Linked DNA regions of Styela clava. The protein of the gene in region 1 purifies or fractionates together with the protein of each later gene. This does not show direct contact. Links are inferred from orthologs where the notes say so. Each region holds a gene or a part of one and is shown in the gene's direction. Other genes may lie near its edges.

The links. Proteins that work in one complex are often made in the same cells at the same time.
Region 2: the proteins of U3 small nucleolar RNA-associated protein 4 homolog (region 1) and WD repeat-containing protein 75-like purify together in Homo sapiens (co-immunoprecipitation; 3 studies listed by BioGRID and IntAct, counting the BioPlex papers as one, with this or other methods). This does not show direct contact. The link is inferred for Styela clava from reciprocal best matches to the Homo sapiens genes UTP4 and WDR75.
Region 3: the proteins of U3 small nucleolar RNA-associated protein 4 homolog (region 1) and U3 small nucleolar RNA-associated protein 15 homolog purify together in Homo sapiens (co-immunoprecipitation; 4 studies listed by BioGRID and IntAct, counting the BioPlex papers as one, with this or other methods). This does not show direct contact. The link is inferred for Styela clava from reciprocal best matches to the Homo sapiens genes UTP4 and UTP15.

What each region holds. Positions count from the first base shown.
Region 1 is NC_135254.1:14,336,524-14,344,512, reverse strand, and holds U3 small nucleolar RNA-associated protein 4 homolog, read left to right. Parts: upstream 1-4,955; 5' UTR 4,956-4,987; coding exon 4,988-7,147; 3' UTR 7,148-7,804; downstream 7,805-7,989. Other genes in the region: mitochondrial import inner membrane translocase subunit Tim9-like, read right to left, coding at 1-193; alpha-1,3-mannosyl-glycoprotein 2-beta-N-acetylglucosaminyltransferase-like, read left to right, coding at 7,835-7,989. UniProt on the Homo sapiens protein: Ribosome biogenesis factor. Involved in nucleolar processing of pre-18S ribosomal RNA. Part of the small subunit (SSU) processome, first precursor of the small eukaryotic ribosomal subunit.
Region 2 is NC_135250.1:18,830,695-18,838,043, reverse strand, and holds the start of WD repeat-containing protein 75-like, read left to right. Parts: upstream 1-4,271; 5' UTR 4,272-5,237; coding exon 5,238-7,349. UniProt on the Homo sapiens protein: Ribosome biogenesis factor. Part of the small subunit (SSU) processome, first precursor of the small eukaryotic ribosomal subunit.
Region 3 is NC_135256.1:19,821,340-19,828,466, forward strand, and holds the start of U3 small nucleolar RNA-associated protein 15 homolog, read left to right. Parts: upstream 1-4,049; 5' UTR 4,050-4,155; coding exon 4,156-4,269; intron 4,270-4,461; coding exon 4,462-4,554; intron 4,555-5,619; coding exon 5,620-5,804; intron 5,805-6,430; coding exon 6,431-6,554; intron 6,555-6,917; coding exon 6,918-6,972; intron 6,973-7,127. Other genes in the region: uncharacterized protein LOC120328857, read right to left, coding at 18-63, 275-300, 590-668, 1,455-1,524, 1,622-1,714, 2,125-2,257, 2,535-2,598. UniProt on the Homo sapiens protein: Ribosome biogenesis factor. Involved in nucleolar processing of pre-18S ribosomal RNA. Required for optimal pre-ribosomal RNA transcription by RNA polymerase I.

The sequences.
Region 1 (7,989 bases):
TTGTTTTCAAATACTTCTGCAAACAGTTTGAAATACATGTGCTTTCTTTTGACAAAACATTCCTACTGCCAAAATCATTGACACAGTCCGCAAAACATTGTTCAGTTATTTTGTTGTATGTGTTTAAAAATTCCTTAAGTTGTTTCATTTGATCTGGTCCAACCAGTTGAGACATGCCCTGAACCCCAGCCATTGTTTCGTTTACTCTAATGCACTGCACTACAGTTGCACCAATACATAAATCTGAGTAAGAAAATAAAAATAGGGGTTAGGCGGATAAGCCGTATAGCTGTATAGTGGGGCAATGGCTGTAACAAACAAAACAAATATGCTCGGAAAACTAGAGAACAAAGTTTATAATACGCAATGCACATGCTCGTTCACCAAAAGTAACACAAATTATATATTTATAAATAGTAAAAAGAAACTCAATGAGCAGCAGTAAAAGCCTCCTGAGGCGTTTCATGTAAAAAACGTGAGTTACAAATACAAAAATTGACAATGAAGTTGATGGTGTGTCGACACAAACAGCCAAATCAACGTAACGTATGGTAATTTGGGCAATAGGCCTAATTACATAAAATACCCCTGGCCTGGTGCATGTATATGACGGGTAACTTATATTACATAAATTTACCATGTATATCTGTACCTTGTCTGCAGCATGCGGTTTTTGTAGATGCAAATTATTATTTTTTTTTTGCCAAATAAGTTCTAATGCCAAACGGAATTTTCGTATCATTATTTTGGAATCGAATAATTTTATTTTAAATACGTGGATTAACTCATTTTTGGACATATATGGTTTATATTACCGTAAATTACTGACATCATGGTAATGGTATGAATTTCATATTTATTTGGATTTTTACTCTACTATTGATATATATATTGCGGGAAATGGGATTTAAATAGAGAAAACAAAAAACTATGTACCGTATTTAAAATAAAGTGGATGCAAATTAAAATAGCGTCACATACAAAACAAGGACCATACCAACATCCTACTACTACGCACACTGCAACGCTAAGCTACATCATGCTTCTCCACAAGATGAAATTCGCCGCGCTCTGATCTATAGTGCCCCCACATGGCTGCACGCCAAGGTCGATATCAGACATCAGCAAGACGCTAGCTAGCTAATATCTCCAAGTGCTGCGCATCTAACATCTAAAAACAAAAGCGGGTTATCGTGATAATCAGTGGTTCTATCTAGTAGTATATATTTACGGTTCTATACACTAGTGTGCCGTGAAAGATCATCAGACTTGCCGCAGAGATTTTCGAATTAACAAAAAAAAATTGAGTTATTTGTTTCAGTGTGTAACAAGACTTTCGAATAACTCAGAATAGTTATCTTAGGATCGGATTTCCATATTTGTTAACTTTGTATGTTTTACATCCTATATGAAGTTTTGTATCCTCGAACTCTGTAATCCGTATTCGTTTGTTTTGATAGCAATGAACCAGCACTGAAGAAATACCAACAAGGAGTCACGAAACGGACATGAGGTAGCATGAAGAAGAATATATGGAATTGATATTCAACTGTCAGCGGATGCTACAAATGCTATTACTATACATTTTACTTAAATAAGAATTAAGATTAAATAAGAATTTGTAATGTAACAAGATATGACAATTCCCATGCGCAACGTTTTTAAATATTCACGTAATGGCATATTGGGGAACGAGAGTCTTGTTACGCCACTGGTTATGGCGATAATTAAATTAAACAATAGTATATACGGATATGATCATCATATATATATATGAATACTGTCATTTCACAAAAATGTAAGTATGTCTTTGCCTATGTTGCTCGGACTAGATTTTCAAGATATTATGACACACTATATTGTCCTCAGTTAATGTTGCCGTATCCACTATTTTAGTCATTGTCATAGTTATCACACCGTTACAATCAATTAATTACAATAAATTAAAAGGAAGATGGGGTAATATTCTTGCTCAATGGCGCGGTCCTTTTGTTCATCAAATAAATAAAACCACAAAAAAGAAAAAACTTCTTGTTCTTCAAAAGAATTTCATAAAAAGTGTGATACTATTCTTCTCACATGACAAATATGTTCATATGGATAGAGATTTTATTTCCCAAATAATGTCAACACTTGAAACATTTGAAGCAACAGAAACAAAAAAATAATAATTCAGTAATAATTGGTTATCATTATTTGTGAGGGCCAGTATACAAGACCGGTAAGGTCACCAAGGCTGACACCGATGAAATATATAAATTGAAAAAATTGGATTCTTCTTATAACATAGTACCTCCTTGTTTGTGATAGAGCCTTGTTCGAAGAGAAGTTATTGAACACGCGATTAGAAGATGATAATATTCTTGTCCGACAGCTGTATTCAATTTTATAAGTCCTAAGCTAAATGAAAGATTTTTTTTCTTCACAGGAGGCACAATAGTTGTCTGCATACCAGCGACTGCTCGTTCAGAGCCTGGTACAGATTACTCAAATAAAAATCAAGTCATATATATATACCACGAAAACAGTGTATTAAAATGGGGGAATGAATTGTCAGAATTGTTCCCAATGCGCTGTTCCTTAAATCAAAAAAGTACTCGGCAAAATATATCAGCAGTGTAATTCTACGTCTCATCAAGTTTGGGCGATGTCACAATCAAGCGACAAAACTTGTTTAGAGCTTTGCTACGGGCAAAGGCTACGGGTAAGTCGTGAAGCTCCTTATCAGAAGATGGAATGAAACCGATCTTATACAATAGCCGTAAGCCTATTCAATCTAATAATTCTATATGGAACGATTTTTTATAAATTATCGGCTTTCCTCTTCCCCGGGATAAATGTGTAAATCCTATCCATTACCAATAATAGTAATATGGATGAATGAATTGTTGTTATGGATGAACTTAATAGTGTGTCAGCCTAATGCGACCTCGTTGATAATGCGCCATTCCATGCGTCCTTGCTGTTTGTAAACGCAACCCGCTGTTCCTAATGAGCTGTGCTACACAGCGGACCCGCGATGAAGCAAGTCAGCGCGGCGAGTAAGGAAAAGATTTTCATATTTAGCGTATTCCTAATTTTGCCAGTCTTATTTCCATCGATGAGCTTGCATGTCACTGTGTAACTCAACGACTGTTTGGCAAATCAGCATGGTAAGAGATTGTATTGTCGTATGTCAGTATGTTTCCAGTGAAAATTGAGAGGGATTTTCAACAGTAAAATGAAACCGTAAGTAGTATTGCTGGAAATGAACTATGCGTATTGCCGTGTGTGAAATAGAATCTAAATTTGTCAGTCACGCAAGTTATATATGAATCGTGAATATTTTGATTAGTTTTTGATTTTATTGAAAGAAATATTCCAGTATTCAGCTGGAAGGGAACTAAATAATGCCAGACAGAAAAATTATGAAGAATTATACACATAATATTAATCTATTAATACGTTTTTTTTTAAATTACATATTATACTACTTAATTAATAATTGATTGACTGTATGCTGTTGTGATAATTTCAACACTATCAAATACAGTTCTCTGATTCCAAGAATAGCCCCCACGCCCCCACATTAAAAGACATCAATAATAACAGTGAGTGCAAACCCCTCCCTCCTTTACGAGACAGTGTACTGGTGTAGGCCAGGGGTCGGCAACCTACGGAGTAGTATAATCCGCGACTGGTCACTGAATTATAGTAACAAAACAGCTGTTTTGACGATTATTCTTTGAGTAACAGAATTCATTGTGAGACACGTGTAGACTAAATTATATTATAATCTAACGAGTATAAAATTCACAATTACTCGTTTAACTATAATTTAATTGTAATTAGACAAATGGCAACAAAACGCAGAAATGTTGATGCTAAGCGCAAAGGGTTCCATGGCGCTGAAAATATTCAAATGGAACTTTTTGAGATGCAATGCAAAGAGGAAATAAAATCTATATTCTATTCGAGAGATGTATCACTGCTTGATTTTTACTATAAAAAGTATCATTCGTTCGGTTTTCAACTTTATAGAAATATGTCCGGTGCGCCAATGACTTGCAGCTGCAACCCTTAATTTTGGCCCGCGGGCGACAAAAGGTTGCCGACCCCTGGAGTCGGCCTTCATATGGACTCAAAACGGGAGGCTGGGAGGCGCAGTTCTTACCACTTCAGCACTTCATGACAGCTCCTGCCACGAACGTACCGCGGCGTCTCTTGCCATGGTTTTATCGCACGATTACCGGTATATTTACAAAGTCATGTACAATATTTTAGTTTATCATGCAGAATTATATTTACTTAAACCTAACCCCAAATACATCAAAACTGTATTCATAAGAAAAGCGTTCCAACTTACCCAATATTTATCTCCATAAGGGGCAGCCCTGCTTTTACAGCCGACATGCCGTGGTAACGGCAGCAAAATTGGTGGTATTCGATTTGCTGCCGTAACAACGGCAGCCCGCTATTGGTTTGTGGCAGCTAAAAAGTCAGGGCCGTAGGTTTGGTCATAGCGGCCATGGTTTGGAAATCCCGCCATGGTTTTGCGGCAGCTCTAGACGCCTCAAAATACTTGAAACTGCACTTGCAAAACTGCAATCTGGCACTGCGCAATAAACTAAAAAAAAGCGCAGTCTAAAAACGTCACCATAGGATTCCATAATCTAATTTACAGGAGGAAAAAAATTTTACTGTAGCGTTTTGGTCACTTGACGGCAGACTCATATTGGTATTGATTTAAATTATTACTGAGACAAGCTTAGTGCGATCTGACGCATCTGCCGTTGTGCCAGACGCTCTCGTTTCAGACACAAATAGGTAACCAAATTTTGCGACATCTTAGAATCAGAGAATTGTGCCCCACTGAAATATAGATGGATTGGATATACATGAACGCATAAATTATATGCTTAGTTTATTATTACCGTAGGTATTTTTGTTTATAATTTATAATTCTTATCCCATTCCTTATGTTTCAGTTAGAATTAAGTCTATATAAATGGGTGAATTTGCTGTTCATCGATGCCAGTTGTTCGAGTACACTCCATGCACTATACAATGCATCGCTAGTTATGAATCGTCTGAAGGTACTGCTTCACAAAAATTGTTAGCAGTTGGGAGAGAAAATGGAGCTATCGACCTCATCAGATGTACGAAGACTGGTTTTTATAAGTATATGGTTATTCCAGCATCTTCTACTCGTCATTTAGAAGATATTGCATGGTATAATGGTAGACTATTTTCTGCAGAACTACAAGGAATAATCAGTGAATATGATTTAGTAAAAGGAACTATCAAGCGAACAGAAGATAGTTATGGTGGAGCTGTTTGGTGCCTTGCTGTAGGAAATAAAAAAGGAGTCATTGCAGCTGGCTGTGAAGATGGAAGTTTAAAAATCTACAATTGTGAGAAAAACAGTTTGTCATTTGAAAAATCATTTGATAAGCAAGAGGGGAGGATTCTCTCCTGTGCTTTTCATCCAGACAATGATGTCTTAGTCTCTGGATCTGTGGGTGTTATAAGAATCTGGAGTTACAAAAGCGGTCATGCTATGCAGAGAATAAACTTGGAAAGTTCTAGAAGTAAAAACACGATCGTATGGGCTGTCAAGATTTTAAGTAACAATACGATTGTGAGCGGCGATTCAACTGGTAAAGTAAATTTTTGGAATTGCAAAAATACTACATTACTGAAGTCATTTCAAAATCATCGTGCTGATGTTTTGTCCCTCTGTGTTTCTCATGATGAAAAAGTTGTTTATGCATCTGGTGTTGATTCACGAGTTTTAGCTATTAATTGTTCATCTGCAATGGTGGGCGAAGATGATCCGTCTTCAGCAACAACTGTAGACTCTTGGGTTCTAGGTGCAACCTTGCAAAAACATACTCATGATGTCCGTGCACTCGCAATCGTAGGAAATTATTTAGTATCGGGAGGTGTGGATACTAATATTTTGCTTTGCAATATCAAAAAAGGGGACTTTACTAAAATTAAAAGAATGGTTGATTTTCCCCATAAAAGCGTTGTTCATATAGCTGAAAACCCAAGATTGGTTTTGTTCCAGTATCCAAAACATTTGGATATATGGAGAATTGCAACTCCACGTCGGGTGAATGGTGAAGCTGGAGAAAAAATTGATTTAGAACAGGATCCAGCCATTGTTCTTCAAATAAAAATGCCTGCAAGTCAATTTGATGATATCACATGTTCTGCCATCTCAAAATGCGGCCATTGGGTTGCATATTCATCTCAATCATCATTTAGGCTTTTCAGGCTACAATGGGGAAAAGAAACACCTTCTGAAATATCTCTAAATAAAATTCCTATTATGTGGATTAAATCTGCATTAGCGATTGCATTCACTCCAGCCTCTGAATATTTGATAACTTCAGCATCGAACGGTAAAATATTTGTCATAAAACTAGAACCTGATGGCCACGTTCACGTAGCTCACGTATTCAAAAATGAAACCGATAGTATCCTTAATGTACCCGCTGTGTTATTTAGTGCCACCAATGAACTCTTTGCAGCTGTAGATTTGAATGATAATATCAAAATCTATGACTTAGAAAAACCAGAGATTCGATGCACGTTGCCCAGTCAAGATAGCTCACCTACTGCCATTTCTTTTAAACCATCCTCTACCAAACTTATAGTTGCATACCAGAATCATGCTGTAATAGAATATGATGCTGACATGAAATCATACACAAAATGGTCCAGAGAAGCAAATTCTGTTTCACTCAATTTAATTGAGTTTCCGTGCAAATATACCAAAAGGCCGAAAAAGCTTGGAAAATGGAATACATCTCCGATAATAAATATTTCGTTCAACGCGGATGCTCCTGATATTATCCTTTTGTCTTCTCAAAAGGCTTTATACTTCCTGAATACTTCGTCTGGTATTTTGAAAAAGATCATTTCTCATGAAAAGGAAAGATCAGAAAATGCCGTTGAGCAAAGCAAAGAATATGCAGCTGAACTCAGAAATAGGAGAAAAATGTTGGAAAATCCAGTCAAATGCTGTGACAAGTTTGAACAGTTGTTGCATGCTTCGTTCATTGATGGTGGTTCATCTATTTTTGTTCTTGAAAGACCATGGCATGATATTTTTGATAATTTACCACCTACTCTGTATCAAAAAAAATTTGGAACATAATCTGTGCAAGAATCGTTGTCATCATGCAGTTGACCTGGACAACTTGAAATCTTGGATAAATCTATTAAACGGAATAGATAATAGACTCGAAACTTTAATTTGTGTTGTTAAAAAAATCGTTTTATAGGCCTATAGTAGCATTGACCATTTGTCTTATGCTTACATTTTTATTATTGGACTGGTCACAACTTACAAAGTCTTATCCATTGTTTTGAGATATAAAATTTTTCGATATTGTATTTTGGCCAAAACGCTCTCTATTTCCGTAAAACTTTCAATTGGAAGGTATTAAAATTTGTGATATTTGTTACGAATTTCAATCTGCTTTGAGTATTAAGAGAACTTGAAAAACATCATATAGATTAACGGAATAGAATACTATTTTTGACATTGCATAAATGAAACTGTATTTGATTTATCCTTAACAATTTGAATTTTCATCCGTGGTGCTGTTCAAAAAATCCTATTTGTGATTGATAATATTTGAAATCATCATTTTCTCTTGTGATGTGGCATTATTGGTATGCTCTATATCTAAACTGTTGTGTATTATACCATTATGCAATAGAAATGTCAATGGAGTTCTTTCACTGGTAAATATTTTGAGCTGTATGGTTGGTCATATCAGCACCATCAACTGCGAAATTTTTTTTTAGATCTAGAAAATTACCATACTAAAATAAAATCATGAGGATTGTTTCAATACGAAGTTACCTGGTTTTTGTGTGTTTTGCAATCATATCACTCTGGCTGCTCTTTTACTTTGTTGGAGTGGGACGAGTACAAAATTTATCTCGGGCTGGGCTGTCCGATGTAAAAGAAAAGCTGAAAGTAAAAGAAAA
Region 2 (7,349 bases), on another chromosome or scaffold:
AATGTATCAGCATGACAGAGTTTGGACCACCCTGGTCTACCTTATCAAGAAACTCCCGACTTTGCTGACCAATATATCGTTGAAATGCGATCGTGGAACCGCCACATAGTGTAAATAGTTCATTGGTCCAATTGTTGAAGAGAATAAAAAAATTTTGAAAATAAAAATGCAGCAACAAGGTGGATACTAGAAAGAAAAAAACAACAACAACAATTTAAGGAAACGACTCATAGGCCCATTTCGTGTCCAATAAATAAGTTTCAGTGTTTCTTTTCAGTAAAGAAGGTTAATATGATACGTGAAGACAAAAAATAAGCGAACATTTTGAAGTTTGACTCTCCTGGTGAACTCGTAACATTTTAATAAATACCGATAAACTATATAAAATTCAGCTCTAAAATTTCTGTGGTGCCCTAAGCACGTGCTTATATTGTTTAATGGTTAATCCGGCGCTGACCGTATGCCAGTTCCATTGGGGTGCATCGGGCAAACGCTGCAGTGGTTTAAATACATACCAATATCTTCAAATAATATCGTTGCATTATTAGAAATTACAGTAAACTTTACTAATCGAGGTCAAGCTGTACTCTGTCTCTGTGCCGGACTGTTTGCTGCTATTTTATGTTTCTCAAATTATCCAGATTATTAAAATAATGTGGGTATATTCTGATTCTGTAACCATATTTTTTGTTAAATTGGTGATATATATAGAATATATTATAATTAGCATATATGTACTTTCAAACACTAGCGGTTTGTGGTTACTGCAGAATTCACAGTGATGGGTCTGCCCCAGAGCATGAAACAAGAAGAAAACCTCTGATTTGAAAGATCTTTCAGCCTTAAAATTATGTTTAAGTCTATGCAAACTCCTGCCCACGGCCCGAAACAACAATACCTGACGCAGTTTATCAAATCATGTTTTTATTTATTTTTACCATTTTCAGGTCTATGAAATTTCAGCAAGCAAACATAAGTTTTCACCATATGTAGTTCATTCATGTCAAAAAATGTTTTCTCACGAATCTCCATTAACTGACCCCTTGTGTTATAAATATTGCACCGACCTTAAGGGCTTTCTTTATAAATTATTTCATACCAAATAAGCCTCTGTATAAATATTTCCATTGATATGCAAGAACCAAATTTATTTCTGGATGGAGCCAAATGATTCTTTTATTCTGGAAATTACACAGCATTGAACTGGAAATCTCATCTCCTCTCTAGTCATACTCGTTCAACAAATGATCAGCTCAAAGTGTATCTTTAATGACAGCTATACTGTGTTGTTGATAGCCGTGTGAAATGGAAAACATAAAGTAGGCCTATGCAATTAAAATTGATATAAACGAGTTCAGGATAATATCACCAGAAAGATTATTAATGTTCAACATGCAACAGTGTATTGTTGCATAATACTGTGAAATGAATAAAAAACTAAACCTTTAGGCTACTGGAATTCTACTATTGGGGTAAATTTACCAAACAGCCAAAAAGAGTGGTAAAAACTTACTAGAGGAACAGTTCTTCAAGGCCTATTGTCGGCGGGCAGTACCGGTGCGTTCATTACATAAAACACCCTTGCTGGATCCCCTTTTACAGTAAGAGCTTCCTATGCATTTGTGTTTGTCTACGTCATCACACACCGTTTCGGACTACAGGGGTGGCGACTCCTCTACGACCCATGGGCCGGGGCACTCGTTTCGGAACTGCGGTCGATTTTCGTTGGAGCGTTTTTTTTTTAATTCATAAGAAGTAAACTAAGTCGACTTTTACGTAAATAAATAGTAAGCGTCAAAAATTCTGGAGAAATATATAGAATTAAATTCACCCCAAAAAAAAAAAAAAATTCCGTGATAACCCACCTATAACAAGAGAAATACCAGAAAATGAAGAAAAAGAGCATAACAGCATAATAATAATGAACGATCCATATGTACATTTCGTGTCCAATAATAGTTCAAAATTGAATGTCGATGCCCCTAAGATTCGAGGCTCTTAATGTTTAGCCTACCATTGCCTAATGATAAATCCGGCCATGTGACCACCAAATGTTGCCATCGAATTACACAATGCAACTTTAACCTTCTTGAATTTGCTGCTTTTAGGTGTGATATGAAGCCACGCTAACTGTCCATCATAGTTGAACTCGTCGATGCAGCTATTGGGGCATTGCTCAATTAGAAACAGATGAAAGCAAGTAAACATGCGGAGCATGCATGCATTATTTTGCGACGCTGCGGAATAGCTAGCACAGTGTTTTTCAACCTTTTTCGAGCCAAGGCACACTTTTTTCAGTGAGAAGATCCCGCGGCACACACATTTGAAAATATGAAGAAAAGGCCTAATATTCACAATATATATAAGTGTTATATTGTTAATATAAGATTTTTAACATTGAAGAAAGATGTTGAATAGGACATCCTGAATAGTAATCTAATAAAAACAAAGACAAAAAAAGCAAATCGCCACCTGATGCTGCTACCGTACTACATGCTTACTCTGTCGGTCGCTACACCGCATAGACACACAATTTGGGAATTTCCCACGGCACCCCTGACAATAACTTACGGTACACCGGTGTGCCGCGGCACCCCGGTTGAAAAACACTGAGCTAGCATATACGAGTAAAATATACAGTACTACGATAGTTGGTAAATTTCCCACACCAGAATGACAAATAATCACAAATGGGCTCCTTTGGCGGCGTGCTGAATTCCGGGTTACTCAGCCGCAAATATTTGATATCCAGCCTTTGGGCTGTGGCCACCACGTGTGTGCTATATATGGAGGTGTATAATCTATGGTACAATACCGTTTATTGGTTTAATTAACAGCCGTGTACCGTACTACCTACAGCTAGGCCTAGGATATTGTGGTAAATTGTGCCAGAATCGGTTAATGTAGGCATCCTACGACCTACAGTCGGAACCGACCGCCGTCGCGTGCGGACGTGGCTACTTCGAGCCGAAGATAGGATAGGATTTACATATTTATCCAGGGGGAATGGAAAGCCTATAAGACGGCTTAATCATATGGCGAACCACGGCCTCTCATCCGGTTACCGTACCAGTCCAGGCTACAGGGGTAGTGACTCCTTTACGGCCCATGGCCCGTCGAATTGGGCCACATGGGCCGTGGCCCATCAAGATATGGGCCGCATCCCATCAAAATATGGGCCGCGGATGCCACCAAATTTTTTTCTTACTATAAGCCTTTATATAAAAAAGAAGCAAAATACCAAGCTACAGAAAAAGATGCTCCTGTAGTATGTGTACCAGGCTAGAGTTAGGACAAAATTTTGTTCAGATTTTTCACATTATAGTTCTATTACTGTATTATGAGTTCGGGGACTGTCGTGTTAGCCAAGTGAATATTCCCTTTACACAACTTGATGGGCCGTAGAGAGGAGTCACCACTTCCACTCAATCCAGGTCGGGTATGGGATTAGTTAGCCAGTTATTTGTTTTTGGAAGCATGGACTTGATGGTGGAGGAAGCAGTAACCGACCAGAGGTTACATGAACCATCCTACGGCGGCGAAGAGTCCAGCAATCCTCTCGCACATAATCTTTCTTCTTCGGTGAGTGAACGCGTTTAATATGTTTTAAACTTATTTTATTAGGTTTTTTTCACTTTCCAGATTCTTCGCCTTAATTTTTTGTGTATATATATGTTTATTTTGTTTTTTGCGAATGAATCGAAATAAAATCTCATCCTAAATCTTATCTTCTGAATTTGCCGTTTCTGTATTTAAGTTTAACATATAATTTAAGTGTAACACCTCAGTACTTAAGGTACTGACCTCCCTGTCTGTCTTTTGGTGGCAATGACTGTCTGCCTGTTGGTGGCTGGAATGGGGCAATCAGAATAGGTTGCAGGCTATAGACCTAATAATCTTTCATCAATTACTAATCACCTAATAATTTCATTATCTCAGTACCTGCAGAATACTGGAATATTTAAATTTTAATAAAAATTTTCAATAAAAACATGTGGAGGCGACTGGCAGAACTTTTTATACATCAAACACAACTTGTAGAACGACTTTCAGAAACAAGAATCTTACGCAGGAGTGCTCAAATTTTTGTTGCGTTTTATCAATCACTTCTATCCAAAGGAAAAGGCACTTCTTCCATTCTGGAAGAAACAACAAAGAAATCCATCTCTGAAGGTTCGAAAAGCAGAAAATCAGATAACAAGTTTATGGGAACCTTCAGAAATGAGTTGAAAAAAGAATTTGAAAATGCTAAAAAGAATGGAAAATTATGATTTTAGCTTAAATGATATTCTGGACTAACATAGCACTGTGATGTTGACTACTGATAATATTACTATATTTCGCTAAATATGCTATATAGCTGATATAGACATTCATCATTAATATATTTTAATAAGTGAAGGGTGTGGAAAGCAATAATTCCAATTAGACTCATTTTAGAACCTTTTGGATTTCTTCATTATGATAAAAAGTAACAATAATAGTATAATAAAGGGCATCACACAATTTTGAATAACTTGTTACAGCTGTACAGTGACATTGAATAGCACTTTATTGTGCTTCAGAGTAATGTTCACTTGTCGAAATTGCCTGATTTTGAATCAATTAAGCTATAGCGATAACTAAAATAGTATATTCTACTATATATATCAATGTTTTATTTGCTTCAGAACATTTTTTGAACAAAATTGTATGCAAGATGTCACTCATATAGAGTGAGTAGAAAAACTGTTTAATACACTTTGAATGAAATAGTATGCATGGTTTGGAACAGCAGTAACATCAACAAAGTCTAGTCTAATGCATTATTCTTTTAAGGATATCTTTGAATATAACAGATTCTATTGTATTTATTATTATATGTATATTTTAAAAATTGAATGTGTCCTGGGATATCTTTAAACAAATTAAAATTTTCTTTTTTACAGAAATTTGCCCAGTTATATATATCACTTTTTGCTATACAATAAACTGCAATGAAATTATAAATGGCCAATATGAACTTGTTGGATGTAGTCTATAGTAAATTTAATTTGTCATTAATAGATTTACAAAAATAATAAAACGGATGACCTCGTTAAAACATCCATACTATAGTAATTGTATAATGTTTATCGTTGGGCCACATTATTTTATCCCCAAATACCTCCCAACAATTCTTGATACTCATTTATTGATTTTTGCCTTTTTTGATAGAAATTAGAATACATAAAAAATCGATAAGCACAAAATTTCTAATGAAGATTCCCCGATTAAATGTCATAAGAAGTGGGGGTGACAGCCTTACTCAACATCCGCCTTTGTTTTCATTGGATTCAAGATTTTTATTTTGTGCTTGTGCATCAGAAATCAAAGTTTTTTCAGCAGAAACTGGCGAGAACACGCAAAGATTGATTGGTCATGATGATGAAGTAACTGGAATTTGCCATCATCCAAAAATTAGCCTTCAAATTCTGTCCAGTTCTCTGGATCGAACAATTAGGATATGGGATTATGAAGATGGTGTATTACTAAGAACATGTAGAGCAGAATTACCATTGTTTGGAATTTATTCCCACGAAAATATTCAAGACGTGCTTGTTGTTACAAAGAAAAATGATAATTCAGTTATATCTAAAGTGTCACTTGAAGCAATAAATGCCAATAAGTCAGAGGAAAGTCTTGAAATGGTTATTCTGGCCACAAATGTCAGTTTAAAGGTCTCCAGGACAGTTGCATTCTTGTCTCCTGGTAATATTATCGTATTTTGTAGAAAGAAAAAACTTTGTGTCCTTGATATCAACAACCCAAATGGTGCAATTCTTGAGCATGGTGACCAGAAAGGTGGAGAAATAACATGCATTGCTTGTCATCCAACAGACAATGCTTGTGTCACTGGCCAATCTAGTGGAATTATCAAATTCTGGCACAATTTGCATCAATGGAATAAAAAATCTACTAACAAGAAGCATACCAAATCTGGTTTGGTAGTTTCATCCCAACATTGGCATAGCAAGGAAGTCCAAGATGTTTATTTTACTCCAGGTGGTGCTAGTTTATTATCAGTTGGGAAGGAAAGTGTCTTGGTACAATGGATATATCAAGGATATGGTAGTAAAAAAGATTTCTTCCCCAGACTGGGTACACCTGCTCGACATATTGCTGTCTCAAGAAATGGAGCACTGTTTGCCACAACTCATATTGACAACTCATTACTGCTTATAACAAATTATTTCTCCATAAAACATTCATTAGAAGGTTTTACTGCTGTTATGGAATCCAAAAATACCACTCATCGATTTCTGGAATATGACTGGAAGACGAACTCTTGTGTTACCAATGGCAAGCCTGGTCATTTGCTGTTCTATCATCCATACTCCGATACCCAACTTTATAACTTAGACATTGTCCATCAAAATTATATTGCTTCTGAGATGGGATCACATATACCACAGACTACTATTACTAATGTTGCGTTTACGTGTCAAAAAATTATAAAAGGTTTTGAGAAAAATGATCCCAGTGCGCTTACTTGGATGGCCACAATAGAAGACATACCAGATGTCACATATTCTAGAGAACAAAAATTGAAGTTTTGGGTGTTTGATGAAATTGAACAATGGTGGAAACTGAATACAGTTGTAAACGATCCCCATAAATCCACAGTAACAAAAATTACATTTCGTCCACATTCAGATGCTGGTGAAATCCACCCAGCACTTCTAACAACCAGCATAGATGGAATGGCTAAAATATGGACAGTGAAACATGGTTCTAGTGATGAACAATTCTTTTGGTGTTGTGTTACTGCTGCTTCTTATAGGAATCAACCTCTGTATGATGGTGCATTTTCACAAGATGGCTCTCTTTGTGCAACAGCTTTTGGCAGTAAAGTTTGCCTCAGTGATCCTGATCTATTACAAGAATTGACTATCTTGTTGTCATTTGGTAAAGGTGAAAATATCAAGCACCTAAATTTTGGAAGTCATTCCTCTCAACATATTTTAATGGTGGTCTTGCATGATGCCATGCATGCTTGCGATTTATTAAGTGGAGGAATCTTATGGTCTGTGAACATACAGGTAAAGCACCTCATCAATGATCATTTGTCCAGTTTTATAGCTGCTCTCACAGACTCAAATGACCTATTTGTATTTCAACCAACAAGTCCATTGCCAATATATAGACATAAAAATTTGTGTAAAAACCAAATTGTTAGTGCATCTTATGTACCAAGTGGGAATGAAACGAGAAAATCTTGGCTACAAAGCAGTGAAAATATATCTTGGATGCAAAACTCTCGGATATTCCTTGTTGATGATAAAATGTCAGTTTTTACATTTTGCACAGACAAAGAGGTGGAAGACAAA
Region 3 (7,127 bases), on another chromosome or scaffold:
AACGTTAAATCTCAAACCTGCAATTCCCAGTCTGAGTTGACCAAACATTGGCGAATCTTCTACCTTGGAGCAAGATGAATTCAAAATTAGAAATATTGTCAAAGATAATTCATATGAAGGAAGTGAATTGTTTTACTATAATAATCCTCATAAAAAAACACAGGGCAAATATAACTTACCAAATGAACGCAAAATATATTTTGATTTAAGAATATGTTAGTAAAGACATGAATTAATACAACATGCTTAAAATTTCAATTTAATCGGTACTTACATACACGTCGTCTTCTGTACCGATATCTTCAAATAAACAAAAATAATATTTGTCAGGTTATGTTTAGTGAATGTATTGGTGTTACAATTAACTTGGCATGTGCAAAATAGTTTCAATATATTTTAAAATAAGCAAATTGAAAAGTATTTGAGTCTGAAAATCAAAAACGAATTTTTGAACATTTAATTTTTTTCTATCGGGAGATCATTCAAGTCTGCGTTGAATTTGTGTATATTTCAAGTTCATATACATGATCTTTCAAGATTATCCCCGAATAATGTTAATTAGTAACCACCATTGATATGTTTGACTTACTTTGTGTAGCGGCCGATAAGAAATCTTTGTAAAATTTAATACTTCTAATCAGAATCTCGAGTTTTCGTATTTCTTCTATCTGTAAAAATTAACAATACTAATTGGTATAGCAAATTATTACGGTTATGGAATTATAGAATATATATATATATATTATTCACGAATAGTCAATAATAATTATAATTTCATTCTACTTTATAATAACTAAGTTAATTTGTGTTTAAAGTGGCTTTGATTTGGCTTCAGTCGGCAGTTTGTTACAATCTCACTTTATAATTATAATACTAAATTTTGGTTGTACCGTTGGATTATTGAATTGAGCCCCAGGCCTCAGCATCACACTCACGACTGCTCAGGACATTTACTCTGCCTGAGAGACAGAAGTTTGAATCGCTGAGCGATAATAATAAGCGAGAATTTCTGTGATCCTCGTCATCACAATCTTACTCCACTATAACTAGGAATGTGTAGAATTGAATTCACATTTTAACTATTTGACAAATCCAACATCCGTGCTGGTATTCAAGGGTGTTGGTGTTTATAACGAGAAAATCCAAAGCGCAAATTATCAAGATGAATCAGATTTTGAAAGTCCACAGTAAACATTTTCATATCTCAACTTATTATAAAAGCTAATTCACCTACAAGCATTATGCTTAGAATCAGGTTTTTGTGCAAAAGTTCTACAAATTCTTCCTATCTCTATCTCACCCGAAAAAGAGGCCATCGTTCGCTATGCGTATTAGCAAATATATATTTTATTTTCCGTCTTCTCCGAGATAAATATGTTTTACATATATATCTTCATATTAGAAGAAGTATGCATACACGGGCAATCTGTAATATTAGAAAGAAGATATCTCACGTGTTTTGGCGTCATACTGCCATCTTTCTTCAATTGGGTCATTGCGTCATTTTTTTGGTCGATGTACTCACTGAAAAATATGAATAAATATATACACGTGAGTTTACCTCAATTAATGATATATATATTACAAAAAAAATGTATCAATATATATAGCATAATATTACTCGGTGCATAATAGAATTGATTTCCAGAGCTCCGTGGCTGTTTCTACTTTCGAGTCATTAGATGTGGTGCTTTTACTTCTTCCAGATTTTTTTCTGTGTGAAAAAAACAATATCACGTGAGCTCATGAGAACGGTTATATATTCAAATAATATACCGGTGCTATTCGTTTATGTGGAGTCCTGATAAAAAACCTCGTTTGAACAATCGACTTTGGAAACCATTCGAAACCAATTTTTCCGCTGCGGCATATCAAAAAACTGCAACAACAACATAATTAGGACAAGCGCGGTAATCACTTGCGCGCAACACCCACAAATATTTAAATAAATATTTTCGTCACACATTATTGTGATACACAGGGCCCTACAATTCAATAATCATGCCGCAATCGCAAACAATTGTAGAATAGATTAAAACAAACTAATGTTCGGGGGTTTGGTGTAAGATAAGTTTTGTTGTTGTAAATTAATTTATTAGTCAATCACAGATGCAATTCACTCACTTGTCTTTGTTTCCCGATGACCATTTCATTGATGATTTAGTTTTTATTTTCTTTGACTTAGTGTTTTTCTGTGGTTTTTCGTTTACTCCGTCAGCGATGAAGTCAACTTCACATCCAACTGCTGGAGTTTTTTCTAATGAAATAAATATGGGACATGATCATGCATGGTAATGGTTTGGCCATTGCAAAATCAATAAAAAAAACAGCATTTATATTGAACAGAGTTATGGTATGGATTTTCGTATAACTGATAAATTGTTATTTTCTCTTCGCAATAATTTCATTCCGTGCTCAACGCGAGAATAAGAAAATTGTTTTCATTTATGTAGGCTACCATAAAGATTACAATCGCCTTCAAAAATTGGAACAACTCTAAAGTAATTACGGCAAATAAACATTCAGTTACTCACCCTTTTCTTTATCTGACTTTTTGCTTTGCAACCCCTTTTGTGACGATTTATTCGAACTATCCATATATTTAAGATTTAGCGCTAATATTATGCAAATCAAATTTAAATTGGTAAGTGCCGGGTCTGGTGATTCGGTATTACTTCTTTGTTATTTGGTTTTTATATTACGTTGCAGGCTAACTATCTGCTTTGAATGTATATTATATACTCCCCTCCAAAAACTATACTCCAGAAACAAATTTTGGGTATAGGCTACGTCTTAAGCGTTTACATTCTATAATTTGTGGACACAAATGTGTCTGGGTCTTTAAGGGAAGAGATTAATGTTATGGCTTTTCTACTCAAATGGGACTTTATCGAAAAAGCTTTTGCGAGAGGTACATTCCTTCCTTGTTCAGGTTGATCATTTCTTTGCATTTCCATACCTATGGTCCTAAGTTAGTTTTTTGAGCAGAAGTACTGACACCAAATAATTAAATATATATGACATGTAGCCTAGTTCTTTCAAGCCCGTATATTATCATTTCAACGCCAATATTCTGTCTACATTTAACCAAGCAGATGGCATTTTATAATCTAACTTCTAATATGATTTAGGGTATTTACTATTTAGAATATATTTTCTGCTGCCTAAAAATCTCAAACTAGACAAACAGCAGGAGCATGCTTGGTATTTAAATCAACGACTGGTATTACTATAGCAAAAATCTGTCTGTCAAAACATACCCCCAGGCAATTCTGCATCACGACAAAGTTCGTAAACTTTAATTGTCAGGGAGGTTTTTGAAAGCTCATCGATCGCCGCTATCAGTAAAATTGCGATTGATGTTATAACATGAAAACGTGTGTGTCCAATAATAGCCTACATAAAAATTTAGCCTATATATTTTTGATTTTCTCGGATTAGTTATTTTTGTAATGGTAGATTTATGCCATTTTTGTTTTACTAAAAAAGAGCAATATATATGATTGATATAACGTGAAATATCAAATAATATCATACATTTATTTGGGTGTTTGTAATGTGACCCCGTTTCGTAAACTTGGCAATGAATGAGATGCGTGAGCTCGTCCTTTTTTTTCTTCTAGTCAGCGCTCCGGAAGCTATGTGGATCACCCTGTAATGGTGGGTCTTGATCGTTAGTCGTTGGTCCTGATTGATTGGTTCTCTGACATATTATCATCTTCAACGGAATTCAAACATGCGTCTCGTGGTCGGGGTTTTCGGCGACCCGGAGAAAAATATCCCCAACCCTCAACCAATGTTCTAAGCGAATCTGTAACATCAGCTCCGAAACAACAAATAATGCTAGTATACAAATCATCGATATGGTCCATTTTTGACAAAAAGTCGGTGCACATAAGCGTGCTCAAATCAATCAATGTCAAATGTGTATGCGTGTGGTTTTAATGTTGCCTAAAAGTTTTCTACGCAGAATTTCTGGTTCTTCCGTGTGTATGGGTTTTTCTCTCTTCCACAACGAATACGTACCGTACTCGCAATATGACCTTTGACCGGTCTTATGGGGAAGTCCCTTGCACACGTTTTGTTGGGTGCTCGGAATCATTTTATGTCATTTTATGACGAATTTTATGTTACATACCGTAACGTTATAGAATCATGTCGCAAAAAGTTCTGAACACATCAAGCAGGTTTAAACGGTTGGATCCCGTGTCTAACGTTCATGAAAGGAAGCTTCTTACTGAAGACGGGTATTACTGGAAAGGATTGCAGGTAAGTTAGACATAACTCAGTACAGCAGTAACTAAAACAGTAAAAACAGAACAACTAAATTGAATACTGAAATGTAATTAGTTTTTTATTTCAAATTCGTCTGTTGCCAAAAAACGTTATGAATATTTTTTTGAACTAATTTTTTGATTTATAACTAGTTCTGTAGATCTTATTTTTTGCATTTAATTCCAGTTTCCTGTCACAGTAAAGGAATTTGGAGCAGTTACACACATTGACATTCAACCAACACATCCTCACAACATTGCTGTTTCGTCAGCAACTCGTGTGAGTATTATATATTACAGTACAGCAGGGCATACAGATTCCAGGAATAGCTCCATATTAATAGACATCAATTATTACAGCCCCCTTCTTTACAAAACAGTCTGGCCTCCATATCGACTCGAAATGCCAACTGGTTCTGCGCAATAAACTAAAACAGTGAAAGGAAGTGCAATCTAAAAACGTCTCCATCAGTTTAATTGATCCAATCCAATTTACTGGAGGAAAAAAATTTTATCTTCGCATTCGAGAGTTTTTAGCAAAAGGATAGGATAGGATTTACATATTTATCCCGGGGGAGAGGAAAGCCGATAAGACGGCTTATCCATATGGCGAACCACGGCCTCTCGTCCGGTTACCATTCCAAGTCGGGTATGGGATTAGTTATATTGTTTGTTTTGCGGAAGCATGGACTTGGTGGTGGAGGAAGCCGTAACCGACCAGCGGTTACATGAACCACCCAACGACGGCGAGGAGTCCAGCAATGCTCTCGCACATAACCATCCCTGCATGGGATTCGAACCTGCGAACCCACGCAGAGTAATTAGAGGTGCGGTGGCGAGCGTATTCCTAACGCTTAGCCCGTTGAGCCACACCGCCGCGCCTAAGAAAAGAACGCAATTTTGGTCATGTGACGACCGGCGCATGTCACGATCGATTTAAATTGTTTCCGCGACAAGTTTGACGCGATCCGATACATCTGCCTTCGTGCCAGACGCCCTCATTTCAGATACAAATGAAACAAAAATCATAATGCAATATTATTTTTGAAGACAATCAATCAATAACATTTTGACTGGAACCGTTCATAATCTACAAAGAATAACATAGAAGTCAACAGATATTCATTGAATTTGAAATTAAATGAATATGGAAACTTCAATGGCCTAAACTGATAATATTTTCAAATAAAACTATTTTAAATTATTCCCAAAACCTAAATTACATAAAATTAAATATAATTAATTTCAAATAGATTTAAATGTGAGATTTGTTTTGGACATCTCTGCTACATCCCAAGTAGCTTAATTGGGGGTTTGATTTACATGTGCATATTTCCTATTATAGATTCAAGTATATCATCATGAAACAAGTGAAAGAATCAAAACCTTCTCAAGGTTCCATAACACTGTATATGGTGCAAGTTATCGCAGGGATGGAAAATTAATAATTGCAGGAAACGAAGATTCTAATGCAAGATTATTTGATACAGAAGGACGTGTTCCTTTGAGAATTTTTAAAGGCCACACAAGGTTAGATAAAATTGAATATAAATTAAAGCTGCCAAAACTAAAATTGAGAAAGTATGACTATAGTACGAATGAGTATATCACAGATTTAGCCACATTATCATATTTTTTGTGCTCAAAATCAAGCTGGTGTATTGCAATGATTAAATGTACATTTGTAATGAAACTCTTCCTTGGTGCAGTTTGATTTTAATATTAAGTCAGCTTTTTTCCCAATGCATCATGCGTTGTTCTGTTATGAAATTTAAGTTTTAGTTATTCCTGTTGCAGTATGCTTCACTTTGGTCACCTTTATTTGTATTTAATCATTATTTCATTTTTGTTCTATGTGTTATAAATTGTAATTAGTGTATATTGTCATGCGATAATAGATTGCATTTGTCTCACTGCATTAGTTACTAGCTGTAAAAAGTATTAGACGGTGGTTCGATCAAGTTTGGCTATATTCAGCAACTATCTGATTTTGTTATCTGTTCTTGTGTTTAGATTAAGATGTGCATTTAGTTACTTGAAGGCAGCCCTAATATTGGTAATTATAAATATACTGTTACAACATGTATAACCTAAACTATAGTAAAAATCCAATGAGTTTGAAATTTTATGAACCTCTTCTTTAATCTATTTTACAGGCCAGTTCATGTTTCCAAATTTTGCAACAACCTTACTCATGTTTTTACTGGGGGTGACGACAAAACAGTAAGAGTGTGGGATGTTGCAACAGAAAAATCAATCAACAAATTCTCAGAACACGAGGTAGTTATTGGTATTTTTGCTCTATATTTCATGTACAAACATTGAAAGTTTTTGAAATCACATTTTCAATCAGTTTTTAATAGGTTTTAACCTTTTTTTCGCTCATCGTTAAAAAGTTTTTTTTGAAATTCTTTTTTATCCACGGTGTACTATAAGAGTGAAATGCTTTATGTGTCTCGTGCAGCAATTCATGGAAAGCGGCTAAAACAAGCTGTAGGTTTGTCACCCGTTTCAACAAAAAGATACGACATTTTTTGTGAGGTTGAGAGTCGCTCAGGACCATCGGAAATGAATGGTTGATAAAACTAGCATTGATACTAAATATATTTTCTTTTACTCAATTTTCTCATATTTTCTCATTAGGACTATATTCGTACCGGAGCCATTTGTAGATCGAGCGCAGATATTATTGCAACAGGTATGTTTCAATATTTTTCAATTTTTCACTAGGAATATAGTAAAGCATCTATTGTTATAATTCATTTTTCCTAGATTAAAAGCTTGGCATGTTTATGCAATATTTAGTATACTGTATACATATAAAGAAAAAATATAGAAATCAATTATTATGGA